2 linked regions of the Bombyx mori genome follow. The protein of the gene in region 1 purifies or fractionates together with the protein of each later gene. This does not show direct contact. Links are inferred from orthologs where the notes say so. Each region holds a gene or a part of one and is shown in the gene's direction. Other genes may lie near its edges.

The links.
Region 2: the proteins of ATP-dependent RNA helicase WM6 (region 1) and MLE purify together in Homo sapiens (affinity purification with mass spectrometry, with the first as the bait; 3 studies listed by BioGRID). This does not show direct contact. The link is inferred for Bombyx mori from reciprocal best matches to the Homo sapiens genes DDX39B and DHX9.

Annotation. Positions count from the first base shown.
Region 1 is NC_085122.1:1,017,871-1,022,091, forward strand, and holds ATP-dependent RNA helicase WM6, read left to right. Parts: upstream 1-1,424; 5' UTR 1,425-1,816; coding exon 1,817-3,094; 3' UTR 3,095-3,244; downstream 3,245-4,221. UniProt on the Homo sapiens protein: Involved in nuclear export of spliced and unspliced mRNA. Component of the TREX complex which is thought to couple mRNA transcription, processing and nuclear export, and specifically associates with spliced mRNA and not with unspliced pre-mRNA.
Region 2 is NC_085132.1:4,397,591-4,401,802, forward strand, and holds part of MLE (MLE protein), read left to right. Parts: intron 1-434; coding exon 435-565; intron 566-1,486; coding exon 1,487-1,656; intron 1,657-2,706; coding exon 2,707-2,900; intron 2,901-3,518; coding exon 3,519-3,633; intron 3,634-4,212. UniProt on the Homo sapiens protein: Multifunctional ATP-dependent nucleic acid helicase that unwinds DNA and RNA in a 3' to 5' direction and that plays important roles in many processes, such as DNA replication, transcriptional activation, post-transcriptional RNA regulation, mRNA translation and RNA-mediated gene silencing.

The DNA of each region.
Region 1 (4,221 bases):
TATTTTAGGTAATTTTTTTTACACCTTGGGTTAAATTATTGGAGTTTTAGTAAGGATACCCAATTTTTTTTTAAAAAAGGTTATAGTCTACGTCACTCGGGAATAGTGAAGCTTCCAAACAGTGAAAGAATTTTTCCAATCGGCTTAGTAGTTTCGGAGCCTATTTAATACAAACTAACAAAACTTTCCTCTTTATAATATTAGTACAGATATTAATTATTACAAATAATAAAAACGCTGACTTAGGTGGCGGTTTTTATTTGAACCAGTTCTAAATTATAAACTAAAATTCTATGAAAAATTACCCATATTTATCTATAATACGAAATGATATTAATTTGTTTTTCGTAGTTTCCTTCCTTCTTGCGTCGATAATCCTCAGTGCTGAGGGTCGCGGCCTCCTCTAATAACTTTCTCCTGCATCATCTTGCGCCATTCCTGCCTGTCCTCGGCTGTATGGATAGCAACGTGGACTGAAGTTTTGAGAGTGGAGCGTATTTGGTCCGACCAGCGCATTGGATTTCTGCCTCTGTGCCCTCTCCCGCATACCTTGCCTGTTACCAGCAACTTTTCCAGATTCTCACCTCTCTTTCTGGCGATATGTCCAAAGATCTCTAAACTCCTCCGCGCGCATGTAGTGCGGAGGCGCATTGGAATCTTGAGCTCGGTAAGAATGGATTCGTTGGTTCTGTGTTCTGTCCAACGAATCCCGAGCATTTTCCTCCAGCACCACATCTCAAACGCGTCGATGCGTTGGCGGTCGGCTTTCTTGAGGGTCCAAGTCTCTGCGCCGTAGAAAAAAATGCCACCCAAGCACAGTCCATTTGGAACATAGCCCTCTTTGCCATACTGATTCGCCTTCTGAGGTCCTTTTCGGAGGTTCCATTACTAGCTATGACGGAGCCCAGATAAATGAAATCCTCTACGTCTTCCAGGTTTAGCTTATTCGTAGTTTAATAAGTTATTATTGTTAGTAGTATTATTTACTAGTCGAAATATAAATTTTTAATTATCTTATGATGAGAATCTTATATTAATGAGAAAGATATTCAACAAAAATAGTTTCGTTCTAATAAATTAGCATAGTAATAGTACAGTGAACTAGCAATTTATTTTGGTAATTCTGAATTTAAACAAACATATTGATGAGAAGAATTCATTTTTACTTTGCAAATTTGTAAATACACGCTCTGTAGCAATGTACGGACATATAATAATATGAAGAAACAATAATAGCATCTACAAATATATATGTACTACGTGGTACTACATTTAATAAAATTAATACAACATTTATTAATTAAATTAATGAAATTGTGGTTTTAAAGTTTTAGGGGTGTATAAAAAATGGGGGGCGCTGAAAAATAATTGATATTCAAAGGGGGCGGTAAAAGAAATAAGTTTGATAATCACTGCTCTAAGTATTTCATTTTTAAATACTCATAAAATGGGTCATTTCAAAAAATAATATGACATGAAAAAAATCATATAAAAGACATATTATTCACGTGCTCACGTGAAAATAAAAACTATGATTGCATTATAGCTGTTCGCCTGTGTTCTTCTTTTTACTTTACACAAATAAAATTTCAAATTAATCAAAAATCAAATTGCAAATTTAATTCTCGTAAACTGTTGAGTGGCGAAAAAGCCAAGTGGCACGTCATATTTAACTGTCAAACATAACAAAAAAAGTTTGGATTGACGCCAAAAAAGCCGAAGCCGCCATTATTGTGAAATCGTATTGTAAAAATAAATTTCACGTGCTCACAGTGAGTACGATACAGTAAACAAGCTAATTAAACTAAAGTAAATCATGGCTGACAACGACGATCTTCTCGACTACGAAGATGAAGAACAAGCAGATCAACAGACTGCTGACGGGTCTACCGAAGTGGCGCCAAAGAAGGAGGTTAAAGGATCCTACGTATCCATCCACAGTTCTGGTTTTAGAGACTTCTTACTTAAGCCAGAGATACTCCGCGCTATTGTTGATTGCGGTTTTGAGCATCCTTCCGAAGTTCAACACGAATGCATTCCGCAAGCCGTCCTCGGTATGGACATACTTTGCCAAGCCAAGTCCGGTATGGGTAAGACAGCCGTGTTTGTTTTGGCAACATTGCAGCAGCTGGAACCCTCCGAGAGCCACGTTTACGTGCTTGTAATGTGCCACACCAGAGAGTTGGCTTTCCAAATAAGTAAGGAGTACGAGCGTTTCTCGAAATATATGTCAGGAGTCAGAGTATCAGTATTCTTTGGTGGTATGCCAATTCAGAAAGACGAGGAAGTCCTTAAGACAGCATGTCCTCACATTGTAGTGGGAACTCCCGGTAGAATTTTGGCATTAGTAAACAGTAAGAAACTTAATTTGAAACATTTAAAACACTTCATCCTTGATGAGTGTGATAAGATGCTGGAATCTCTAGACATGAGGCGAGATGTGCAGGAGATATTCCGGAACACTCCTCACGGGAAACAGGTGATGATGTTCTCAGCCACATTGAGTAAAGAAATCAGACCTGTGTGTAAGAAATTTATGCAAGACCCAATGGAAGTTTATGTAGATGATGAAGCCAAACTCAAGCTACATGGACTGCAGCAACATTATGTGAAACTAAAAGAAAATGAGAAGAATAAAAAACTCTTCGAACTACTTGATGTATTGGAGTTCAATCAGGTGGTTATTTTTGTGAAATCAGTACAGCGCTGCATAGCTCTGGCACAACTGCTCACCGACCAAAACTTCCCTGCCATTGGTATCCACAGAAATATGACCCAGGATGAGCGTCTCTCCCGCTATCAACAGTTCAAGGACTTCCAAAAAAGGATCCTGGTTGCAACAAATTTGTTTGGCCGGGGAATGGACATTGAAAGGGTAAATATTGTCTTCAACTATGACATGCCTGAAGATTCAGATACATATCTACATCGTGTCGCCCGCGCAGGAAGGTTTGGTACCAAAGGTCTGGCCATTACTATGATATCTGATGAAAATGATGCCAAGATCTTAAACCAAGTACAAGATCGTTTCGATGTGAACATTACAGAGCTGCCTGAAGAAATTGAGCTCTCTACCTACATCGAAGGACGATAGATTAAGTTTCATTCCCATACCTATTTACTGCTGTGGCTCATTTTGTTGGTAATTAGACTGGCCTGCTTTAACATTGATTTGTAATACATTGAGCCACATTTACTGTTTAACTAGGTTTATCTAATTAAAGTGACATTTCATATTGTGATATCTGAGTGTTTTATTTCTTTACCAACAATTTGGGAGCTTTCATCGTTATCAGTAAGACAGGCTGTGATATGTTTAACTTTAGAATGTAGACAGGAAATTGATATATTTATTTTGACCATGTTCATATTAATGTAACAAAATATCCATTTTGAACATATCATTTTGTCTTTATGACTTCATATTTTTATATTCTTAGACATGCAAAATTTACTGATATTGGATGTTAATACTTCACACAAATACTACTGGATGCATTTGGATAAAATTTCATGCCTAAAAACTTCAGAATAAAACAAGCCATAATTTAATTTAGAGTACCTACGTACAGTGTGAGAGGTGGGGTGCAAGTAGTTTCAAGAAATTACTGTTTTTAGAGCCTTGCTATAGGATAATTATACAGGAACGCGACCAGTTTTAACTGAAAAGTACAGAAGGCCCATGTCCAGTAACTGGTATCCACTACAAAATCAAAATCTATAATTGTCTGCCTACACTATATTGATTTAATTAAACTAAATTAGAAACACGTCCAAAGATTTTTTTATTATATAAACTGGCATTTTAATCTATGTTCACAAAAGACGAAAAAGCGATAATGCTAAAAACATACTTTATTTTAGCACCATTTGCATACAAAATAAATATTTAAATTAAGCTTATAGTCCTGCATTTAATTTTTTTTACTGGTGGTAGGACCTCTTGTGAGTCCGCGCGGGTAGATACCACCACCCTGCTTATTTCTGCCGTGAAGCAGTAATGCGTTTCGGTTTGAAGAGTGGAGCAGCCGTTGTAACTATACTTGAGACCTTAGAACTATATCTCAAGGTGGGTGGCGCATTTACGTTGTAGATGTCTATGGGCTTCAGTAACCACTTAACACCAGGTGGGCTGTGAGCTCGTCCACCCATCTAAGCAATATTTTTTTTTATTAAAATATTAATAAACACCAATTATCAATTTCATCTTTATTGCTCTTT
Region 2 (4,212 bases), on another chromosome or scaffold:
TGAAATAGCTGGACCGATTTCGATGAAACTTTCTAGAAGTCTTGAGATTGGACTAGCGGGTAATGTAATGTACCGAAAAGCGATCGGATCAAAGTCAAGTCAAAGGTCGCACGCCAAAGCGGACTTTAGTGGATCCTAAATGAAAACATGACATATTAGATAGGAGCACTCGAATGGGAGTACTCGAAAAAAATAAATAAACAGATACATACTGCCGCCCGTTTCTTTATGTCCCGAAGTAGTCATTCACCCCGCTGTGGAAGGTGCAACGGTTACTATACAATGCTATTGAGACTTCATTCTTCAGTTTCAAGGTTGATGGCGGTAATCTCTATGGACCCCGGTGATCTCTGAGCAACAAATGGTCCGTGTATAAATAAAAAAATTAATGTCTTAAAAAATAAATGAAGGTAATATGATATTATTTGTTACAGCGCAAGGGGCGTGCGGGGCGCGTGCGGCCCGGCGTGTGCTTCACGCTGTGCACGTACGCGCGCTACGAGAAACTTGAGGAACATTTGGCCGCCGAAATGTTTAGGACTCCGCTACACGAGCTTGCTTTGAGGTAGTCTTTTTTATTTTTTTATTGCCCTTGTAGGCAGACGAGCATACGGCCCACCTGATGGTGAGTGGTTACCGTCGCCCATAGACTTCAGCAATGACAGGGGCAGAGCCAAGCCGCTGCCTACAGCTGTCTCAAGTTCTGAAGTTGTCGTGGCCTAAAGGATAAGACGTCCGGTGCAATCGTATGTAGCGATGCAACGGTGTTCGAGTCCCGCAGGCGGGTGTCAATTTTTCTAATAAAATACGTACTTAACAAATGTTCACGATTGACTTCCATGGTGAAGGAATAACATCGTGTAATAAAAATCAAACCCGGAAAATTATAAATTGCGTAATTACTGGTGGTAGGACCTAGGACATTAGATACACCTATTATGGAAGATAGCTCTTTTGCAACTATTAAAGGTAGTTTTCTTAAGCCAAGGTCTAGGTCTACTACTGGTGGTAGGACCTCTTGTGAGACCGCATGGGTAGGTACCACCACCCCGCCTATTTCTGCTATGAAGCAGTAATGCGATTCGGTTTGAAGGGTGGGGCAGCCGTTGTAGCTATACTGGGAACTTAGAACTCATATCTCAAGGTGGATGGCGGCATTTACTTTGTATATGTCTATGGGCTTCAGTAACCACTTAACACCAGGTGGGCTGTGTGCTCGTCCACCCATCTAAGTAATAAAAAAGTAAAAAAAAAAACTTTTTTTTCTACCTAAGCTGATGGTCTAAGCTCCAGAACATGAATGCGCCACCCAGCTTGAGATATGACTTTTAAGATCTCAGTATAGTTACAACGGCTGCCGCGCTCTTCAAACCGAAACGCGTTATTGCCTCATGGCAGAAATGGGCAGGGCCGCGCGGACTCACAAGAGATCCTACCACTGGTGCTCTATAATTTGTTTGTTTAATGTGTGAATTTTAATTGACAGCATAAAGCTCCTCCGCCTGGGTGCGATCGGTCACTTCCTGTCGAAGGCCCCGGAGCCCCCGCCGCTGGACGCTGTCATCGAGGCGGAGGCTCTGCTCCGCGAGCTGGGCTGTCTGGACGCCGAGGACGCGCTCACGCCACTCGGGACCATCCTCGCCAAGCTGCCGATAGGTGACTGCGGCTTTTGTAGCCCTTTTTTTTTTTAAGTAATACTTCTTTAGGCGCGTTATGAAAAATTGATGAGAGTGAAATTTTACATTACGCTAATTACAATACCACCGACGTAACTTGGCGAGTCTGAATATAGCCGCAGGTGAACTTTCCGAACCGTACCGAGAATTACCGAATTTATACGATGTCAACAAAAGGGATGTCCAATATGCGTGTTTGAGGATGTTGTTTAATCGTTTTTTTGTTTTTCAAATGGATTAAAATTTAAATAAAAAAAAAGAAATAAATGTAATAAAAATAAAGTATAACTTCTTACGCGCGTACACGCACCCTTTTTTTTTAACACTGGGGAATCCATTTACGAATACCCGGTACGGGGGGGGGGGGTAACGAACCGGGTTATATAGGACTCCGACTACTCCGGAGATGAAGAGAGGGACGACGAGGCTTTTGTAGCCCTGCTATTGTTGATGTCCATGGACGACTGCGCTTTCGGTCTAGTCACCGTGCTTCTGATAAATGTATAAACCTCTTTGCGTTACGGATATGTAAGAATAAAGATATCATAATACTAGCTGACCCGGCAGACTTCGTAGTGCCTCAATCGATAAATAAAAGACCTAAATTTTTGTATAAAATAAAATTAAAACAAACAAAAGGAATCTGTCCGACGGGGGACACATCAAAGGAAAAACAAAATTATTATTTTCATTTAATTCTGAGCATTTTCATATTTATCTACCTTTTAAAACTTGTCTGGACTTCCACAAATAATTCAAGACCAAAATTAGCCAAATCGGTCCAGCCGCTCTCGAGTTTTAGCGAAACAACGAACAGCAATTCATTTTTATATATATAGATATGGGTGGACGAGCTTACAGCCCACCTTGAGTTAAAAGTTCTAAGGTCTCAAGTAAAGTTACAACGGTCGCCCCACCCTTCAAACCGAAACGCATTACTGCTTCAAGGCAGAAATAAGCAGGATGGTGGTACCTACCCGCGTGGACTCACAAGAGTTCCTACCACCAGTAATGACATGCTCCATTTCAGAACCTCGCCTCGGCAAAATGATGGTGTTAGGCTTTGTGCTTGGCGTTGGAGACGCCCTGACCACGATGGCGGCTAATTCTACAACGTTCCCGGAAATATTCGTGCTCGAAGGCCGGAGGAGACTGTCGATGCACCAGAGAGCCCTGGGCGGAGACCGGGCCTCCGACCACGTGGCCATGTTGAATGCATTCCAGGTACTTCATATATTTATATATTATATATATTTTTTGTGTTTATCGATTCATGCGTATATTATGTACTAACAACTTACGTCACAAACGTGATGTGTGGAAGTCTATTTTTGAAGTGAGACTTCTAATGCGACTTCCAACAAGGTTGCGTTAAACATTTAACGCTGCCATGGAATAGAAAGAGACAGCGCGAGAGTGAAGGCGTGCCACTCGAGCGCATGCGCGTAGTATGACCTATTTACAGGCCAGCGAGAGCGTTAGTAACGAGCAGCGTCCAATATTTTACTGAAGTATTCAAAAATATATATATATATATTTTTCTATCTATAATTTAAAATATATATAATATAAATGTTGAAGATGACGCATCTCTTATACACAACATTCCCTGTTACAAGAGCAATCTGATTTAAGGATGAAAAACGAAGAAAACTACAATACTACACATCGAAATAGTAGTTACACTTCATTCACGTGCACCAAGTTGCACGCGCACCGTTTTTGTACATATTATGTTACTGTTAATTTATCTTTAGGCAAGCTAACAAAGTTTCCATAGAGGCGTGGCTGTTTCCGTAGTGAAATAAAATTGTATTATAATTTTGTTTATGCTTCACCTAGATGTGGGAGAGAGAACACAACAAAGGCGAAGAGGCAGAGCTACGGTGGTGCGAATGGAAGGGCGTACAGCAGACCACGCTGCGTGTTACTTACGAGGCTAAACATCAATTGATAAGTGAGTAATAAATATGTACACAAGACTTTTTTTTTCGTTCCTAAACTGAGACTCTTGAGAGGCTATATCAGCGGAACCTTAACTAGTAGGTGAACTCACGGGGCTCAAAACTGACGACATTGCTAACACGAACCCTAGTAAGAGCAGTGCTTCGGAGAATCTACCACCGGATCGGAAACGCGACCCACTCAGAAGATCCGGCGAGAAACTCAGTGGGCTGTGTCTGTGGGTTTATTTACTCGTCAAGCCCTTCGTCGCAAGCAACGGGTTCGACGAGAACGATGACCGGGCACACAAGCCATTTAAGCTTGCACCGTATTTAACTGTGTTTAGAACTTATTTTTGGGACCTAGATTTTTTTTTAAATCTGGAAATGAGTTATATGATAAGTCGTGTGCTTTTAAAAATTCTTTGAGTGTTTCGGAATAATAGAAACACTGCATGTCATTTGGATTCTATGTATATTGAAACACCACAGTTATCACCGGGTCAAGTAATTACACAGTATTGGTTTTATAATTCTGAATTGTATCAACCGCAGAAAAATTAAATCAAAATTCCATATCTGTCAATAAGTCT